Linked DNA regions of Macaca fascicularis. Each later gene encodes a partner of the first gene's protein in a complex. Links are inferred from orthologs where the notes say so. Each region holds a gene or a part of one and is shown on either strand. Other genes may lie near its edges. The genes, in order: DRC1, DRC12, DRC9 and DRC3.

Region 1 (4,937 bases):
CCAGGCCTGCACTTGGAGCCGCAGGGTCTGCCTGGCACGATGCTCAGTGCTGACAGAATGGGGTGAGGTGAGCACTTGCACCCATGGCCAGTGGGAGCATAAACCATAGATTGCTCTTTGGAAAGCAACTTACTGAGAACTTTTGACTTAGTCATTTCACTTCTACGAATCTACCATAAGGAAACAAATTACCCCAAGAATTGTATATATAATTTGTCCCAGCATTATTTTATAGTAAAGAAAATTATTAAAAAGTATATATAACTATATATACACACACACACACAACTGTAGAGAAATGGTAAATTATTATGACATGGTAAACATATTAAATATTTCATATATGATAAAACAGCATAGTATATGAAAGTATTCTAGCCTGTAATCCCAGCGCTTTGGGAAGTCGAGGCAGGCGGATCACCTGAGGTCGGGAGTTTGAGACAAGCCTGGCCAACATGGTGAAACCCCATCTCTACTAAAAATACAAAAATTAGCCGGGCGTGGTGGTGGCACATGCCTGTAATTCCAGCTACTTGGGAGGCTGAGGCAGGAGAATCATTTGAACGCGGAAAGTGGAGGTTGCAGTGAGCCGAGATCATGCCACTGTACTCCAGCCTGGGTGAGCGAGACTCTACCTCAAAAAAAAAAAAAAAAAAAAGGATTCTGTACTATTAAAATGATGTTAATAAAACTTTGCTAACCTGAAAAATTGTTGTTGTGATATTAAGGGAGGAAATTAGGATATAAAATTGTAGACATAGTTTGATTCCAACTATGTAAAGGACACTGGGGGGAAACATGCCAGCATTAACAGAAGTTGCCTTTGGGGGTGGAATTTTGGGTAGCCTTGCAACTTCTTTCTCCTATGTCTTCTTTTTCATTTGCTGTACTTTCCAAATTTTCTACAATGAGCAAATATTGCTTTTGCACTCAGGAAGAGTTTTTACAAAGAAAAATGTATAACTAGAAAGGGTAAATAAAAAATAAGTAAGTAGAGAAATTGAGAGGTAGGATTAGTTATGATCTCAGGGACTCATATGGTTCTTCATTCACCATCTGTTAAAAGATATTACAGGCTTCTGTTCTGAAGGAGACATTCAAATACTCATCTCATAATGGAGATTTAAAAATCCCTGCGGTGGTGATGTAGAATATTCTTGACTAATTCCCCCATGACAATGTGTGTGGGAATCACCGGATTCCACAGCAACCATGGAAATGATGTGCTTCCTGACCCAATGGAGCGTCACCTCCTAGCCAGGAGCCCTCCTGGAGTATGACCCAGAGTGGGCTGTGATAGCTGCTTGGAATCACTTCCTCTGTTGACTCCTGGGCCAGAGTCTGTAGCCTAACAGAGGGAGACGGGACAGAGGCTGGAGACAGCACGCACGTGGCAGTTTTATCGAGTTTCTGATTCCACTTGATTGCCTTCCCCATTCCTGCATTTCACTCGGGAGAGGCAGGAGCATGCCAGCCTCCAGCCTTGCCTCTCTCTGATCTTTTTTTCACAACCTGTCAGGGTGATCTTTCTACAGTGACTGGACCAACCATTTTCCTTCCCTGCTTAACATTTTTAGTGGTCCTCCCTTGACTTCAGGATAATGCTTTAAATTCCTAGCTTGGGAAGGCTCTGCTGCTCTGTCAGCCTCATTTCTGACCATTCCTTGCCTCGTGCCTCATATCCTAAACTTCTTGTGGTTTTCCCAAAGCCTCATATATGCTATTTCCTCTCTCTAGAGTGCTCTCCCTTCCGGTGTCACCTGTGTAACTCCAGCACATTCTCTAGGTCTCAGCTAGACACACCATCTTCCAGGGATGATTTCCCTGGTCCCTCAAGACCAAGGACAGTGCTCTTGTCATTGGTCCCATAATGGTCTGGGCTTCCCTCTATCTTGCCTCTTACCCCTAGCGTTTATCTGCCTCTGTTCTAGACGGGTCAGGACTATGCCTTTCTCACTGGTGTTTTCGCAACGGCACCTCGAAAAGTATCTCACACAGATTAGGCACACAATAAGTATTTGCTGAATGAATGAATACAGCTAATGGAAATCCAAAAAGTAAGGATGACTGTGTCTGTCCTTTTAAATGAACCTGGGTTGCTAAACACTAACACTTCCACCCTGGAAGGTCAAAGTGGGGGAAATTTCAAGTTTTTGTGGCCGTATTTATTTCTATGGTGTTTTTAGCGGGGCTACTCATATCTGAAGGGTCTGGAGAAAGTTACCAGAGTTAGTTGGACTTGAAAGCTCTGTGATCTTTCTTAGGCGTTAGGTATACAGATTTTAGTTTACAGTTCATTGACTTGTATTTTATCTGGTTGACCTTTAACTTGACTCTCATGATAGATTTTCTAAGAATGCAGGCTGAGGCACTTGTCCCTAAGGTTCCTCTGACATGACTTGAACAATTTATCAGAAGCCTACAAGCTAGGGCCAACTAGTGTGTGAAAATATATATATATTTGTATTTCAGAGCATACCTTTATTTGTGTACAATTTTAGGTATAATTCACAGGGCAGATAAGCTTATAAATGTAGGAAAGTTTATTTTTGTATACTTCCAGTATAAACTTCTACCAATACTTTTACCTCTTTATTCTTTATGAATGTAGGTACAAAGATAAATACATCTGAATATGGAGATGCATAGTTAGGTAAATAAACATACATAAGCAGGACTATGTAAGTATATCTATGTAAATATTTACCTATACAAAGCATGTTCCCCAAAAGACATTTTAAATACGCTAGTGTATATAATACTAAGGATGCAGGTGTAGAGTTAGTGTGTGTGTATATATACACATATACATAGATATATATATAGTTTTTTTTAAATTTTAGATTCTTGAGCAGCAGCTTCAGCAGAGGAAAGCAATTTATCAACTAAACCAAGAGAAATTAGAGTACAACTTGCAGGTGCTGAAGAAGAGAGATGAAGAAAGCACAGTGATTAAATCCCAGCAGAAGAGGAAGATCAATCGGTAAGCTAGCATGCAGAGCGTCTTTCTTCTGGGCTCTCTGTGCTGAGAATAGGGATGGATATGTACTTTTTTCTATTGAAGGGGTAGAAACCATTAAAAATATAACCAACACTTATTAAAATAGTTTTTTGGAGAAGTTAATACATTCAAGTGGTTCCCCTTCTCTCCCTAAGAAAAGAGAACATAGCAAAAGATTTTCCATCCCCATTCATCTTGTTCCTCTTTCCCACCTCTATAACCAGTTTGCCTCTTCCAGAATTTCATTAGGCATATACAAGCCCACACAAATATTCTCATCCCCCATCTGCTTTTACGCAAATGATGGCAGTCTGTACACACTGCCGTGTATCTTGAAGACCTTTCCATCCCAGTTCATGGAGAGCTTTTACCGTTTGTTAAGCTGCTACGACCCACTGTATAGATACACTATGATTTATTTGACCAGTGTCTAATGATGGACATGTAGATTGCTTCCAGCCTTTTTCCCTTGCAAATAATACCAACCTAAGTACTCATGACATGTGCCAGTTTGCTTTTGTGGAGATACCATGGCTCATTGAAAGGTACCTATTGCTTGAAATTTCTCACACATCTTCCCTTCTTCCTTGTCTCCTTAGTCCCATCCTTCCTGCCTTTCTTCCTTTAGGAATTGCATTCTAAGTTTCAGACCACTGTGTTAGGCTCTGAGGACCAGAGTGGAATAAGATTTCTTGCTTGTAGAAGGAGACAAGATTGAGGATTTCCCTCCAAACCCCAAATAGCCTATTATTATTTATGAATTCTTCCACTTGTGGGTTGGTAATACATACATTTTGGACACATGTTGAATGTATAGACGAACATCAGTTGACATTTTGGTAGTTACTTATCACAGAAAATGATACTGAATAAATGGGATGGCATCTTAAGCCTGATTATCTGAGAAACAAGAATAGTCAGGGGACAATATTTATGAAAAAATTCCCACTATATAAGCCCTATACTAGATAGGGGAACATCCAAGAAAGACACACATCAATACAGTGAGGAGGCACCTGGGAAAACTTCCCAAAGAAGTGAAATACTGGAGGGGGTGGGGACATGAACTGGCAAAAGGCAGTTAACAGGAGACTCCAGGTGGACAGTGCTGGCAGCTGGGAATGGCTGGTCTGAAGGCAAGGAGGTAGGATTCAGAAAGTCCCACAGTGGGTGTAGAGAACGGGTAAGGTGGGAGGCGGGAGGAGGCGCTTGAGGCAGAGCTTGGGTTTGATGCGTGTGGCTGAGAGATGAGTGGAATCTTCCCTCTTATTTCAAACTCAGACATCTTTCCCTCAGCCTGAAAAACCCTTCAACGGACCCTGCCATTTCTAAGCACCATCTTTTCATTTCTTGCTTTCATTGCCATTTTCCTTTCCTCCTCATCACCACCCAACATTTCATAATTTGACATATCTGTTTGTGCTGCTATAACAGACTACCTGAGACTGGATAATTTACAAAGACGAGTTTATTTCTCACAGTTCTGGAGCCTGGGAAGGCCAAGATCAAGGCTGGCAGGTTCAGTTTCTAGTGAGGGCTGTATCTTTCAGAGGGGAGGGACGCTGTGTCCTCACTCAGCAGAAGAATGGGAGAGCAAGCTGGCCTAAGGCTTTGGGAGGCCTGTTTTATAAGGGCCTTAATCCCATAATCCCATTCATGACGGGGGAGCCCTCATGGCCTCATTACCTCTTAAAGGCCCCACCTCTTAATATTATCACATTGACAACACTGAATTTTGGAGGAGTTACATTCAAGCCATAGCAATCTATGACCCCAGGATTGTACAAAAACTTCCCAAAGTAGGATACCAATGATGCCCTTCTAGCCAAACGTAGTGACTTCTCCTCAGGCCTCATCCTATTATGATTGGATACTGGGTTTTCTTCTTCGGTTTAAGTGACCCTAAAATATTTGCCCTTCTTTCTTAATTTATTTG
Region 2 (5,521 bases), on another chromosome or scaffold:
TTGCTTGAACCCAGGAGGTGGAGGTTGCAGTGAGCCGAGATCACATCACTGTACTCCAGCCTGGTGACAGAACAAGACTCTGTCTGAAAAAAAAAGATAGCCTGGTGCAGTGGCTCACGCCTGTAATCCAAGAAACTTGGGAGGCCAAGGCAGGCAGATCACTTGAGGCCAGGAGTTCAAGACCATGCTGGCCAATATGGTAAACCCCGTCTCTACAAAAAATATAAAAATTAGCCAGGTGTGGTGGCATGCGCCTATAGTCCCGGCTACTCAGGAGGTTGAGGTGGGAAGATCACCAGAGCCTGGAGAGGCTGAGGCTGCAGTGAGCCGTGATCATGCCACTGCACTCCAGCCTGGGTGACAGAGAGAGACACTGAGAAAAAAAAAATGCCAGGCGCGGTGGCTCACGCCTGTAATCCCAGAATTTTGGGAGGCCGAGGCGGGTGGATCACGAGGTCAGGAGATCGAGTCCATCCTGGCTAACACAGTGAAACCCCATCTCTACTAAAAATACAAAAAAATTAGCGGGGCGTGGTGGTGGATGCCTGCAGTCGCAGCATGAACCCGGGAGGTGGAGCTTGCAGTGAGCCGAGATCGTGCCACTGCACTCCAGCCTGGGCAACAGAGCGAGACGCTGTCTCAAAACAAAAACAAAAACAAAACAAACAAACAAAAAACCTAAAGAAACGGTCTGCAGGTCCCCTAATCCAAAAGGAGAAAAGCCCTGAAGTGTCTGCTGTTTTCACTCTAACCAGTATGGTGCCCAGAGATCCAAGTGGCAGATAGATGGCAAGCCTCAGGATAGCACAGAGCTGCAGGGAGAGTGAAGGCTGCCTGACAAGGGAGGGCCACCTGTCATACTCTCTCCCCCACATTAATTATTCCAGCCACTCCTGGCTCCAGCAGGACACTAAGAAGTATCCCCAAAGGGAGTCACCCCCAGTATTGCCCAGTAAATAATTTAAAAGCAAAAATGTGGGAAACTCAGGAGAAGGTCAAACAAGTCCACTAGAGGGAGCCCCAACCAACTCTATGCTGCAGGGAGCCTCACAAAGCAATGTCTCAACACCTGTCTGAAAATCAACCACACAAGGGAATGGGGAAATGTAGCAATAGATTAAGTAACTAGGAGAGAAGATAGCCATGTAAACACCTAGCTAAAACACAGGCTTTTCAAGAGCTACAAAATCAAACATTTAAAGATCAGGAAACTGATGCTGAGCAAAGTCAAATGGCTTGCCTCAGTTTACATATCCACAGTTGGGACTCAAACTCAAATGTCTTGTCTCTAACCTGAGCACTTTCCTGCACACTTGCATCCCTCTAGGTCAGTACCCTAGAGTCCATGGGTCTGCTGTTCCTTTGTGTCTCATTTCTCTGAAGTGGGAAACGCCCTCGACTACCTATTCCTGTACTTATTACCCTCATTCCACAGTGTACTGAAGAGGATCTTCAGTGGTTTGGGGTTTTTGTTTGTTTGTTTGTTTGTTTGTTTGAGACAGGGTCTCCCTCTGTCATCCAGGCTGGAGTGCAGTGGTGCAATCATAGCTCACTGCTGCCTCAACCTCCCAGGCTCAAGTGGTTCTCCTGCTTCAGCCTCCCGAGTAGCTGAGACTAACAGGTGTGCACCACCCTGCCAGGCTAATTTTTTAATTTTTTGTAGAAATGAGGTCTCACTGTGTTGTCCAGGCTGGTCTTGAACTCCTGGCCTCAAGTAATCCTCCTGCCTCAGCTTCTGAAAATGTTGGGATTATAGGCATGAGCCACCGCCCCCAGCTTAGATCTTCAGTTTTAAACCTACTAATGTCATTTTGCTGATGGGACCTCGGGATGTCAATTGTCCAACATGGCTACTGTCAGTCCTTTTCCTCTGTATCAGCACAACATATTATCTCAGATGTGTACATCTGAATTTGGAAGTCTCCAAATTGCAGGCCATGTCTACGTGGCAATGAATCATAACCAATCGGCCTCCAAAGCCCTTTCTTTTCAAACTATACTTAGGGTTTTGGGATAAGGAAAGAACTGACCCTTTGAGACCTTGATATTTTAAGCTTTGTGAGCTGATTTAGCCCATTCCACCTTCCTACCAACTCCATGTTTCCCAGTTGCCTGGACAACATACAGCCTCCCGAAACCCAACCTTCCAGCCCTCAGTCCTGCCCTCAAGAGAAATTTGCCACCAAGGATTGGCTCCCAGGACCCAGGCCCCGCCTCAGGCTCCTCGCTAGTTGGGCCTTCTCTCTGCCACTCCCCACGGGTGGGTCACTCCACAGGGAGCCCCAACACTGGCAGGAGAGGATCCTACAGGTAGGAAGAGGGGGTTGAGGATGATGGGAAGAGGGAGGGGAGCAGGTACAGGGATTTATCTAAAAGAGAGTTGTGAGGAGTGACTTCCGTACAGTCAGCCTGGTTGAGAGAAAAAACTTCACCCTCCCCGTTGACCCCAACCCTGCCTGAGGTTCCAAAGAGACTGTGAACTGACTTTTCTGAAGAGTATGAGATGCAAATTTGGAGTAGAACCAGGAGACTCCCCTGAGACTCCTGATTCAGTCAGGAAAGCATCCCTGTGTCCAGACCTAAACATAAGGTCCCCTCCTTCTCCCAGGACAGCAAGGAGATGCCACTTAAAAACAAAGAAAAAGGGAAGAAATCTGGGGCGCAGAAGAAAAAGAACTGGGGTGAGTCATGGTGGGTGGAGGTGCCCCCTGCTTCTCCATGTTCTGGCATGAAGACCACGCAGAGCTCCTCCAGAGAGAATTCAGCCTTCTACATGACAGGATGGAACTCTCTTGACCTTCCTCTTTCGTGTCCTTGAAGTCAGATGCAGGGAGCTGAGGAAGTGGGGAAATGGTCACTCACGCTGTCCTTTAAGCACCATCTAGCTTTGTGCCTTCCTAATATATTTGTCATGTGTATTTTGCATATCTGTTATGTGCTGGTTGGTAAGGACACAGTGCTGACTTCAGTAGACTCTGCCACCATGGATCCCTCATTTAGTGGTCCTCAGGTCTCCTGTGGCAAAAGTGCAGGGTGTGGGGCGAGGACGCAAGGAGAGTGAGGAATGCTGAGATCACGAAGAGCTGAGGCTCTGCCACTTGCCACAGCAGGTGCAGATGTGGAGGCTGAGTCCAGGCACAGGCTGGTGGTGCTGGAGAAGGAGCTGCTCCGAGACCACTTGGGTAAGGAGGGTAGAAGTTGGCATGGGGGTGGGCAACAGGGCAAGTGAAATGGGGCATTTCTGTATCCTGGGGGATTGGAGAGTTGGAGATACAGTGGGGGGCTAAGTTGAACCCTAACCATCCCCTAGTGGAAAAAGACAATGAGAGAGGGGTGGGCAGTGAGAGTTGATAAAGGAAGCTTTTTTTTTTTTTAGACAGAATCTTGCTCTATTGCCCAGGCTGGACTGCAGTGGTGTGATCATAGCTCACTGTAATCTCAAACTCCTGGACCCCAACAATCTTCCCACCTCAGCTTCACGAGTAGCTGGTGCACACCACCCTACCTAGCTACTTTATTTATTTATTTATTTATTTTTCTTTTTTAAAATTTATTTTATTTTATTATTTCATTTTATTTTATTTTACTATCTTTTTTTTTAAGACAGAGTCCTGTGCTCTGTTGCCCAGGCTGGAGTGCAGTGGCGCGATCTTGGCTCACTGCAACCTCTGCCTCCCAGGCTCAAGTGATTCCCCTGCCTCGGCCTCCCAAGTAGCTGGGATTACAGGCACACAGCCACCACACCCGGCTAATTTTTGTATTCTTATTAGAGACAGGTTTTCACCATGTTGGCCAAGCTGGTCTCGAACTCTTGACCTCATGATCCTCCCACCTTGGCCTCCCAAAGTGCTGGGATTACAGGCATGAGCCACTGCGCCTGGCCCTATTTATTTTTCTTATAGAGACAAGGTCTCACTCTGTTGCCCAGGCAGGTCTCAAACTCCTGGCCTCAAGCAATTCTCCCACCTAAGCCCCCCAAAATATTGGGATTACAGGCATGAGCCACCATGCCGGGCTATCCGGAAAGCTATTTTGTATAGGCAGAACATGGAGAGAGTCTTTACTTCTTAATAATGAGGAGCCTGTGAGACTCTAGGGATAAAAAACAAAAACAACAAAACCCAGAGAGAGAATAAGAGGCTGGACGCCCCGCCACCAGATTTCTAGAGACGGGCAAAATTCATCAAGTTCATGGGGGCTGATTTAGCGGGCCCCAGCCAGTCCTGACAGTGGCTCTGGGACTGCTCACAGCTGTACGGAGGGATGAAGCCCGTCGAGCCAAGGCTTCCGAAGACCAGCTGAAGCAGAGGCTGCAAAGGGTGGAGGCTGAGCTGGAAGGGGCCCGAAGTGAAGGGAAGGCCATATATGCAGGTGTGTGGTCTGTTGAGCAGGTGGGCAGGAGACAGGGGCCTGGAGGAAGACAACCAGCAGGGTCAGATGATGCAAGGAAGGGAAACAAGGAGGGCTTCCAACTGCCAGGCCTGGTCTTGGTCTTCCCCGAACAGTACAAATCAGGCAGGATCCTGCAGGAATCAAAGGCAGGTAGGTTCCTGGGATCCCAGGCAGGGGCCTGCCAGGATGCCTGGTGCCATGTGCTTGATGCTGTGTAGGATACACATGCAGTCATAGCCATCACCTCAACCATCCTATGGGAGGGGAGAAGGACTAGCATCCCCATCCAAAGCTGGACGGTGGGGGAGGTGGGTTGGGCTTCCTTTCCCTTCCTCAGGTTTTCATGGTCTCTAGCTTCTCAGAATCACAAAAAGAACCAAGAAGACCATGGGCCGGGAGTGGTGGCTCACACCTGTAATCCCAGCACTTTGGGAGGCCGAGGCGGGCGGATCACGAGGTCAGGAGATCGAGACCATCCTGGCTAACATGGTGAAACTCCGTCTCTACTAAAAATGCAAAAAATTAGCCGGGTGTGGTGGCAGGTGCCTGTAGTCCCAGCTACTCGGGAGACTGAGGCAGGAGAAGGGGGTGAACCCGGGAGGCGGAGCTTGCAGTGAGCCAAGATCGCACCACTGCACTCCAGCCTGGGCGACAGAGCGAGACCCCGTCTCAAAAAAAAAAAAAAGAAAAAGAAAAAGAAGAACCAAGAAGGCCTTTGTGCTCCTGTTCCACTAGACCAAGTAGAGTCTTCCCCACCCACAACTTCATTTCCTTTCTCCATCGCTCCATCTCCGACCTGGGTCCCTGGCGGCCTACTGCCCCCACCCCAGAGATGAGTCGCCAGTGCCATGCCCTGCAGGAGGATATGCAATCCCGCAGCAAGCAGCTGGAGGAAGAAGTCAAGGGCCTTCGGGGGCAGCTAGGTAGGTTTCCCCATCCCCCAAGCCCCTTGTCTCCAAGAGTTGCAGCAAGGGCCAGCATGAAGGGGCAGACTTCAAAGTCTCTGCTCCAGAAAGCTGCCACCTGGGCTCTGGGATCACTTTCCCCACTTTCACTGACCCTCCACCACCGAGGACTGGAGCAGAGGGTTCGGGATGCCAAGAATCTCTGTTGTAAGTAAAGAAGAGGT
Region 3 (4,937 bases), on another chromosome or scaffold:
TTGGATTAGGAGGATGCTGATATCCAGATGAAGAAGGTGGCAGGAATGAGTACTGGGTTCTCGCATGAGGAATGAGAAGCCAGAACGGCAGGAAGGCACTGGAATCTGCACAAGCGCAGCCCTGTCTTACCCTTGGGAAGCACAGTTACCTGTTATGCCCCAAGCCTAAGAAAGTGGAAAACAAAGAATCAACATCATCAAAAGAAAAATATTGACGGGTGCAGTGGCTCACGCCTGTAATCCCAGCACTTTAGGAGGCCAAGGCGGGTGGATCACCTGAGGTCAGAAGTTCAAGACCAGACTGACCAACATGGGAGAAACCCCCGTCTATACTAAAAATACAAAATTAGCCGGGCGTGATGGCACGTGCCTGTAATCCCAGCTACACCACAGGAGGCTGAGGCAGGAAAATCACTTGAACCCGGGAGACAGAGGTTGCAGTGAGCCGAGATCACGCCATTGCACTCCAGCCTAGGCAAGAAGAGCAAAACTCCATCTTAAAAAAAAAGAAAGATATTCTGCTTAATACGATGCTGCTTCCTCCTAAAACTGCCCCTGCATCAGGAAATCTGGCTAGTTTGAAGTATTTTTTCAAATTTATAGGAAGATTCTGTTTTATATGTTTGAATTTTTGCGTATCAGATTTTTGTTGCAAGAGTCATATTTGCACCACCTCTCTCAGAGTTACTTTATTGTGGACGAATTTACATTGGAAACTCACACTCACTGTCCATTCAGCACAACACAAAATTCTCCACAGGTGTTCTCACTGCAAAGCTCATTTAAGCAGAAAGGATTCTGGTGCACTCTGGAGGGGTAGCATCTTGACAGCCGTGTCAAACTGATTCCGATTTCCAGGATTAATATAGTTTTTCTTTCTTCCTTTTTTTTTTTTTTTTGAGACGGAGTCTCGCTCTGTCCCCCAGGCTGGAGTGCAGTGGTGCAATCTCGGCTCACTGCAAGCTCCACCTCCCGGGTTCACGCCATTCTCCTGCTTCAGCCTCCCGAGTAGCTGGGACTACAGGCGCCCGCCACCATGCCTGGCTAATTTTTTGCATTTTTTAGTAGAGACGGGGTTTCACCATGTTGGCCAGGATGGTCTCGATCTCCTGACCTTGTGATCCACCCGCCTCGGCCTCCCAAAGTGCTGGGATTCCAGGCGTGAGCCACCGCACCCGGCCCCAATTAATACAGTTTTTCTAAATGTCATCTCAATTATTCCTCTAAGCACACGTGGAGCAAATTCCGTTATCTGGCGGATAAGATGGATTGAGTGATCTAATTAAATGTTAGAGTAATTAGAATCATAGAAAAAATCAAGTATATAGAGATTACCAATTAAAATTGTGATACCATGGAACACTCTAAAACCAGGTTGAACATTAATTTACCTTAAGAAGAGGCCCACAGAGTGCATGTGTCTTGAGTTTGGTAGAGCAGTAAGAATTCGGTCAACTTCTTCATAGACCTGCGGTCCGTGATGTCGATGTTTCTTTCGCCTCTGAGACTGCTCCACTCTGCACAAAGAGGTGACAGTCACAGCTCCCGTAATCATTTAATTTTCTCTGAATAAAATGATATTGAAATAACTGAAACATCATTGAAGACTTGCATAAACTAATCTCAGTGTTTCCTTCCCATTTTAGGTAGCCGCACTTCTGTGAGATTATAAATATTCCACGGAGGGTAACGGAACTACGGGAGAATGGAAGAGTATGTTTACAATTCCTATGTTTTTTGTATACATGTATTTAAATTATGCCTTCTGTGAAAGGTCTGTGTATACCTTATCTACTGCTGTGTGACAGATCACCCCAGAACTTAGTGACTTAAAATACAAACATTTATTCTTTCCCACAGTTTCTGCAGGTCCCAAGGTTAGGAGCAGGTTAGCTGGATGGTGCTGGCTTGGGGTCTCTCCTGCACGTGAAGTTGGCCACGGGTGGCAATGATGGCAATGATCTGAAGACCTGATGGGGGCTGGAGTATCCACTGCCAAGGTGGTTCATTGACAGAGCTGGCAAGTTGGTGCAGGCTGCCGGCAAGAGGCCTTTGTTCCTTTCCCTCATGGGTGTGTCCACAGTGCTGCTGAAATGTCCTCATGTCGAAGCAGCTGTCATCCCTCACACTGAGAGGTTTGAGAGAGGAAGGCAGAAGCTGCGATGTCTTTTATCACTTAGCCGTGGAAGTCCCACTCCGTCATTGCCACAATAACCTTCCGGTTACATAGGCTGGTCCTACTCAGTGTGGCGTAGACTACACAGAAGCATTAATACTAGAAAGTGAGAATCATTTGGGCCACCTTGGAGGCTGGATACCACATTCTGTTTTTCACTCATCAGGAGACACTTTTGGTTAGCATCTAAAGATACTCCTAGGGAAAAAAAGTTAATTTTGGCTCAAATTCAAATTGATCAGCATAGCCAAATTGCATGAGCTACATAGCTTTATTAAACAGTAGGTCAGGTGTGGTGGCTCACACCTGTAATCCCAGCACTTTGGGAGGCTGAGCTGGGTGGATCACCTGAGGTTGGGACTTCAAGACCAACCTGACCAACATGGAGAAAGCCCGTCTCTACTAAAAACACAAAGTTAGCCGGGTGTGGTGGCGGGCGCCTGTAGTCCCAGCTACTCAGGAGGCTGAGGCAGAAGAATCGCTTGAACCTGGGAGGCAGAGCTTGCGGTGAGCTGAGATCACGCCATTGCACTCCAGCCTGGGCAACAAGAGCGAAACTCCGTCTCAAAAAAAGGAAAAAAAAAAAAAGTAAGTTGTTTGCCTTTGGTTGGTCAAAATGGAAGATATTTAGCAGAATCACACTCAAACTCCTACTTTTTTTTTTTTTAATCTAGGTTATATTATATGACAACAAGAATATCACAGGAGCCCAGCACATTGCTGCCTGTACTTTTGAGTTAAAGTAATGTTTAAATATTGGTCGCTGACTTATTTTTTCTTTATTCTTTCCTTAGAGACAGCCTGGAAGACTCAAACCTTCCTCCAAAAGTTTGGCATTCTGAGATGACAGTGTCAGTGACAGGCAAACCACCTAGTACCGTAGAAGAAGACGGACTACCTAAAGAAACAGACGTAGAAACCATCCCAGAAATCCTAGAAACCCGAGAGCCACTCTCGCTTCCAGATGTGCTGAGGATCTCGGCAGTTCTGGAGGACACCACAGACCAGCTCTCTATTCTAAACTACATCATGCCCATTCAGTACGAAGGAAGACAGAGCGTCTGCATGGTATTTACCCGCTCACGATGAGACTATGAGTTACTTTTGCTTTATTTTTTATTTCTCCCTCATTTATAGTACCTATCTCATTAAATGTATTGATTTATCTTTCTCTCTCTCTTTCCTTCTTCTTTTTTTTTTTTTTTTTTTTCTGACAGGGTCTCGCTCTGTGGCCTAGCCTGGAGTGTAGGGGTGCTGTCACGGCTGACTGCGACCTTTACCTCCCAGGCTCAAGTGATCCTCCCACCTCAGTCTCCTGGGTAGCTGGGACTACAGGTCTGCACTACCACACCTGGCTAATTTTTTATAAAAGTTCTGTAGAGATGGGATCTCACTGTGTTGTCCAGGCTGGTGCCATTAAATATCACTTGGGAAATAGCACCTTTATTTCAGATAAAGGGCTACACTACCTATCTGAGATATGTACTCTCAATTGATGGAGTGAAATGGTCATGACTGAAGGTACATTACCGGACAGAATATCCTTTTCCACTATGTTGGCATTATCCAAAAAGGCCTGTACGGAAATCAGTATAAGTACAATACCGAAGAGAGGGAATGACTAAGCCGTCCGCGCAGCTTGTGTTTCTCAGCTGCTGAACCCTAACTGAACACTAGGGGGAGGAAGTTCAGCTCCGGCCTTCACTTCGCTTTAATCTAAAATGACTTGTCATTGGTGAATACGTTGTAACTTGCCTTCCTGAATATCCAGCCGCATTACTGTGTCAGCCATTACATTTTCTTTTTTTTTTTTTTTTTTTTTTTTTGAGACGGAGTCTCGCTCTATGGCCCAGGCTGGAGTGCAGTGGCCGGATCTCAGCTCACTGCAAGCTCCGCCTCCCGGGTTCACGCCATTCTCCGGCCTCAGCCTCCCGAGTAGCTGGGACCACAGGCGCCGCCACCTCGCCCGGCTAGTTTTTTGTATTTTTTAGTAGAGACGGGGTTTCACCGTGTTAGCCAGGATGGTCTCGATCTCCTGACCTCGTGATCCGCCCGTCTCGGCCTCCCAAAGTGCTGGGACCACAGGCGCCGCCACCGCGCCCGGCTAGTGTTTTGTATTTTTAGCAGAGACGGGGTTTCACCTGGTTAGCCAAGCCCTTACATTTTCAATCGTGTTTTGGACTGCTCTGTGAAGCAGCACTGAGTTATTAGAAAATTAATTTAGTAGTGAGCAAAGTCTTTATACATGTTTAGCTCTTGTACATTTCAATAACTTAGGTTGTAGGTATAAAATGGAAACAATTTACAAATAGAAATACATATTTATCAAGTTTTACATAATAGCATTATATAACTTGTGCAGAAGATACTCTTTTTTATTTTTATTTTTTTTATTTTTATTTTTTTGAGACGGAGTTTCGCTCTTCTTGCCCAGGCTGGAGTGTCTGGGCTCACGGCAACCTCCGCCTCCTGGGTTCAAGCGATTCTCCTGCCTCAGCCTCCCGAGTAGCTGGGATTACAGGCCTGCACCACCACACCCAACTAATTTTGTATTTTTAGTAGAGATGGGGTTTCTCCATGTTAGTCAGGCTGGTCTTGAACTCCCAACCTCAAGTGATCTGCCCGCCTCGGCCTCCCAAAGTGCTGAGATTACAGGCGTGAGCCACCGCACCCGGCCCAGAAGATATTCTTATGTCTGATTCTATGACCAATGAAAATTGCTACATAAATGAGAGGGTAAAATGCTTTTCTTTTTTTTTGT
Region 4 (4,849 bases), on another chromosome or scaffold:
TCTCATAGAAGTAAAAAGAAGAACAGAGGCTTCTAGAGACTGGGAAGGGTAGGGGGATGAAGGAATAGGGAGAGATTTGTTAAAGGATATACCAAATTACAGCTAGATAGGAGGACTAAGTTCTAGTGTTCTATACCACTATAGGATGACTACAGTTGACAATAATATATTATAGTTTCAAATAGCTAGAAGTAGGATATTGAATGTTCTCAACACAAAGAAATGATAAATGTTTGAGACAGATATGCTAATACCCTGATCTGATCACTATATATGATAAGTGTAGAAACATCAGTATGTACCCCATCAATATGAACAATTATTAGTCAATTTTTTTAAATGCCAATTTTTTTTTTCTGAGGTGGAGTTTCACTTTTGCTGCCCAGGCTGGAGTGCAAGGGTGCGATCTTGGCTCACTGCAACCTTGGCCTCCCGGGTTCAAGTTATCCTCCTGCCTTAGCCTCCCGAGTAGCTGGGATTACAGGTGCCCACCATCACACCCAGCTAATTTTTGTATTTTCAGTAGAGATGGGGTTTCACCATATTGGCCAGGCTAGTCTTGAACTCCTGACTTCAGGTGATCTGCCCACCTCGGCCTCCCAAAGTGCTGGGATTACAGGCATGAGCCACTGCGCCTGGCCAATGCCAACACTGTTTAAACAAAGAAGTTGCTTTGAAAGAAGTGTGTCTTTACAGCCACAAGGACCACAGAGCAGGGCAACACCTCAAAAAAGATTCAGGAATACCTGTTTGCATAGTCCCTGCCTCCACCCTAGGCTTTCAACCTGCAGAAACTGGAGAGGGATCTGGAATATTCTACCCATAAAAACTATTCTAAGAGGGAAAATTGAAGTAGCCACCACTCTAGGCCACCCAAAGTCCAGAAACAACTTGTAACTTACATCTCAAAATAATTCCCTTAAACCCAGTTTCCTTTTATTTGCATTTTACAAATGTCACACTGTTTTTCATAACCAATTCTAATCATGTATCTTTCTAAGCAGACTTCAGTTTCTGTTGCTTCTCACAGCTTTTGAAGCTGTTTTCTACATATTCAAACTCTGAGGGGGATGATTTCTCTGCCTGGCTAAAAGCTCCACTATGACCCACTTTTTAGGATGAAGGATGAAAACCTTTTCGTGATGGGTTGACACTGTGGTTGTAGTTATCTCTAAAATAACCAGAACACTCATTTCTAAGCACACTGCCAACGCTCACCGAAAATAGGCTTTACACACCTTTGAACCATTCCCAGAGCCTGGCCTGGGACCTTGTACACACATGGAAAGAACTTAATGATTTCTTGACATTTCTCCCTTGTGACTGTGCTAATTGGTCCCCCAGACACCCCATTCCACATATCAGCTAACCTGGCTTTTCCCACTGGGATTCTGTGGAAAATCAGCATCCCACAAGACATTAACAGGCATTACTCTGAAGTCTGTGGCCAAAAAAGTTGAAAAACCAAGAGAGACAAAGCTTAAAGGGTTTATTTTCCACAGGACTTTGTAGAGCCTCTGGAATACTTTGTGCTCTGCAAATCTTCAGGAGGGGCCTGGGGGTGCTGGCTTTCCCAAATGTGTTTGACCAAAGAATACTTTTTTTGGTAGAAATATTAACATAAGATTCCACAGAACATGTTTTAGAGACCGTTAACTGCCACTACAGGGAAGAACAAAAAGTGTACATTCCACTTGCAAGTCCTCCCTGCAATACAGAGCATTCACGTGCTCTTCCTTACCAAACGCCTCTGCTTCAAGGTGGAAGCAACTGCTTACTGAGTGCTTCGGTGGCCTTGCCCTGCTCTGGGCATTTCCACCATCCCAGGCAACGACAGCCACAGTGTCAACACCTGGAACCAGTGAGGCCTATTAGAGGGTGGTTGTTTCTAACAACTTTTTACAAGACAGCAAAGTCAGGAACAAGAGAAGGCAGAAGGAGACCCCAGATGGAATCCATGGTTTGGTTTTGTTGACATGAGTGGCAGTGGAGAGACAACTGTGGGGTGAACACCCATCAGTTTATAGGGCCTGCTGTCTTCAGAGCAGCCCCAAGACCCTCAGCCAGTCTCATGCTTCCACCCAGCAGGCAGAGGTTTTGGGCAAGTCAGACTTGAGAGTAACTGAGAGAGAAGCATTGTGAGAACAGATGTCCTGGGTGAGGTGCCCCCTGGGCAGCCATCTGCCTTCACCCTGGAGGAAACATGCTTCCAGCGGGGACTGCAGAGTAACACCCTGGTTGGCCCTTTCCCCTCAACACCTGCCCTGCGCGGTTGGGGAGGCAGCTGTCACAGATGAATTCACAGATGAATCGGCAGAGTGCGCTGATACAAAGGTGAGCTCTGCTCTGAGTGTGGCCTGCACAGCCAGGGGACTTCCAAATGCTCCTTTTCTATTCAGCTCTCTTTGTGTTCAGGGTGTAATGACACACATGTTCTCATTGGATTCTTTTCACTCACCAGCTTTTTGTCGATAAAGATACGATTGTTAATGCTGTCGGGGCATCGCACGACATCCACCTTCTGAAGATTGACAATCGAGAAGATGAGCTGGTGACCAGAATCAACTCCTGGTGTACACGTTTAGTAGACAAGGTGAGTCAATGCCAAGCCATCCTAGCAGGTTGGACAAATTTTTCTAGCTGACATGGAAATCCTCCCTAGGTAGCGGATAGAATTCTCATTTAGGAATGAAATGAAAGAAGAAATAAAATTAAGGATTATAGAACTCCACACTGAAGACAAGGTTGCCCAGAGACTTTAAAACCCATGGGCTTCGGCCAGGCGCGGTGGCTCACGCCTGTAATCCCAGCACTTTGGGAGGCCGAGGCAGGCAGATCACGAGGTCAGGAGATCAAGAACATCCTGGCTAACACGGTGAAACCCCATCTCTACTAAAAATACAAAAAATTAGCTGGGCATGGTGGCGGGCGCCTATGGTCCCAGCTACTCGGGAGGCTGAAGCAGGAGAATGGCGTGAACCTAGGAGGTGGAGCTTGCAGTGAGCCAAGGTCGTGCCACTGCACTCCAGCCTGGGTGACAAAGTAAGACTCCATCTCAAAAAAAACACAAAACCCATGGGCTTCATCATTTTCCTAACTCCTACTTCAAATACACAGAGATCAGCAGAACCTGGGGAGGCGCCGAAGCAAATGCGGAGGTTTGCAGATCTCAAGGAACTATTTTCCCCTTCCCTCAAACTGGACTCAGTGAAAGATATTAACCAATGATCTGATGTAAGGTATCGGGCTTTGGTTTCACTCCTCAGATTCACAAGGATGAGATCATGAGAAACCGTAAGCGCGTAAAGGAGATCAATCAGTACATCGACCACATGCAGAGCGAACTGGACAACCTGGAATATAGCGACATCCTAGACTAGATGAGTGTCAGCCACAGGAGCTTCTTCAAAACATAGCACCAGCCCTAACCAAGAGAAGGAAGTGCACATGCCTCACCGAGCACCTCAGGAGAGTTGCTGGGCATCTCTCAACTACGATCCCCCACACCATTCTTGCCCCACCCCTGGAAAAACTTCCAAAAGTAGAGAAAATAAAGGACTCATGTCACATTTCCCCTATTCATTAAAAAAAAAAAAAAAAATCAGCTGGGCACTGTGGCTCACGCCTGTAATCCCAGCACTTTGGGAGGCCGAGGCATGCAGATCACGAGGTCAGGAGTTCAAGACCAGCCTGACCAACATGATGAAACCTCGTCTCTACTAAAAATACAAAAATTAGCCGGACATGGTAGCGTGTGCCTGTAATCCCAGCTACTCAGGAGGCTGAGACAGGACAATCGCTTGAACCTGGGAGGTGGAGGTCTCAGTGAGCCAAGATTGCACCACTGCACTCCAGCCTGGGCAGCAGAGCGAGACTTTGTCTCAAAAAAAAGAAAAAAAAAAAGGCCGGGCGCGGTGGCTCAAGCCTGTAATCCCAGCACTTTGGGAGGCCGAGACGGGCAGATCACAAGGTCAGGAGATCGAGACCATCCTGGCTAACCCGGTGAAACCCCGTCACTACTAAAAATACAAAAAACTAGCCGGGTGAGGTGGCGGGCACCTGTAGTCCCAGCTACTCGGGAGGCTGAGGCAGGAGAATGCCGTGAACCCGGGAGGCGGAGCTTGCAGTGAGCTGAGATCCGGCCACTGCACTCCAGCCTGGGTGACAGAGCAAGACTCCGTCTCAAAAGAAAAACAAAAACAAAAACAAAAACAAAAAACAAAAAAATCAGAATTCATGTTCATGTAGGAACAGGAGAAAGAGTTTGAGATGAACAGCCGGTCCCAGGCCAGCTGACAGAGTGACTCCCAAGGGCACTGCCATCAGCTAGACTCTTGGCTGTGGCATAAAGTCAGACATGTGCCCCTGCCGTTTCTCCTGCCATGCCTAGGCAGGCTGCTGGCCACAGGCAAAAGGAGGCCAGTGTGGGCTGAGACCTTCTCTGCTCTGGGTGCTGAGGGGCAGCAATGCAGGAGAGGCTGCAGCTCCCACCACAGTGTGGGGGCCTGGGCCTGCCCACCAAGGCTGAGGTTAGTCACAGGGACCTGAGGACCCTCCAGAAGAGCAGAGCACAGGCGGGGCATCCCAGCTCCACCACACCCCCGCAGCCCTGGTGTCATCTGTGATAGTACCTCACAGTGCCTTCGAGGAACAGTTCAGGGAGACAGTGCGTGGGAAGCATGGAGAGGCACCCAGCATGTGATCAGTGCCGTGTGAACAGGGTTGATGCCATTACCTTACTCAGGCTGGCAAGGACACAGGACTGAGACAGCCTGTCTGCCTAAGAACCACACTCGGGATCCCCACTGCCCTCTTACTGGCGTGACACCAGACAGCACCACCTGCCTCC

The links.
Region 2: DRC1 (region 1) and DRC12 share a complex: the UniProt entries of both Homo sapiens proteins name them as parts of the nexin-dynein regulatory complex. The link is inferred for Macaca fascicularis from reciprocal best matches to the Homo sapiens genes DRC1 and DRC12.
Region 3: DRC1 (region 1) and DRC9 share a complex: the UniProt entries of both Homo sapiens proteins name them as parts of the nexin-dynein regulatory complex. The link is inferred for Macaca fascicularis from reciprocal best matches to the Homo sapiens genes DRC1 and DRC9.
Region 4: DRC1 (region 1) and DRC3 share a complex: the UniProt entries of both Homo sapiens proteins name them as parts of the nexin-dynein regulatory complex. The link is inferred for Macaca fascicularis from reciprocal best matches to the Homo sapiens genes DRC1 and DRC3.

Annotation. Positions count from the first base shown.
Region 1 is NC_088387.1:95,804,156-95,809,092, reverse strand, and holds part of DRC1 (dynein regulatory complex protein 1), read left to right. Parts: intron 1-2,843; coding exon 2,844-2,983; intron 2,984-4,937. UniProt on the Homo sapiens protein: Component of the nexin-dynein regulatory complex (N-DRC) a key regulator of ciliary/flagellar motility which maintains the alignment and integrity of the distal axoneme and regulates microtubule sliding in motile axonemes.
Region 2 is NC_088388.1:118,065,984-118,071,504, reverse strand, and holds the start of DRC12 (dynein regulatory complex protein 12), read left to right. Parts: upstream 1-2,267; 5' UTR 2,268-2,310; intron 2,311-2,608; 5' UTR 2,609-2,620; coding exon 2,621-2,681; intron 2,682-3,107; coding exon 3,108-3,182; intron 3,183-4,251; coding exon 4,252-4,371; intron 4,372-5,222; coding exon 5,223-5,315; intron 5,316-5,521. UniProt on the Homo sapiens protein: Component of the nexin-dynein regulatory complex (N-DRC), a key regulator of ciliary/flagellar motility which maintains the alignment and integrity of the distal axoneme and regulates microtubule sliding in motile axonemes.
Region 3 is NC_088376.1:894,512-899,448, forward strand, and holds part of DRC9 (dynein regulatory complex protein 9), read left to right. Parts: intron 1-1,646; 5' UTR 1,647-1,705; coding exon 1,706-1,713; intron 1,714-1,860; exon of another isoform or gene 1,861-2,354; intron 2,355-2,970; coding exon 2,971-3,244; intron 3,245-4,937. UniProt on the Homo sapiens protein: Component of the nexin-dynein regulatory complex (N-DRC), a key regulator of ciliary/flagellar motility which maintains the alignment and integrity of the distal axoneme and regulates microtubule sliding in motile axonemes.
Region 4 is NC_088390.1:18,128,286-18,133,134, forward strand, and holds the end of DRC3 (dynein regulatory complex subunit 3), read left to right. Parts: intron 1-1,472; exon of another isoform or gene 1,473-2,461; coding exon 2,462-2,593; exon of another isoform or gene 2,594-2,598; coding exon of another isoform or gene 2,599-2,658; intron 2,659-3,117; coding exon of another isoform or gene 3,118-3,228; exon of another isoform or gene 3,229-3,266; coding exon 3,267-3,380; 3' UTR 3,381-3,569; downstream 3,570-4,849. UniProt on the Homo sapiens protein: Component of the nexin-dynein regulatory complex (N-DRC) a key regulator of ciliary/flagellar motility which maintains the alignment and integrity of the distal axoneme and regulates microtubule sliding in motile axonemes.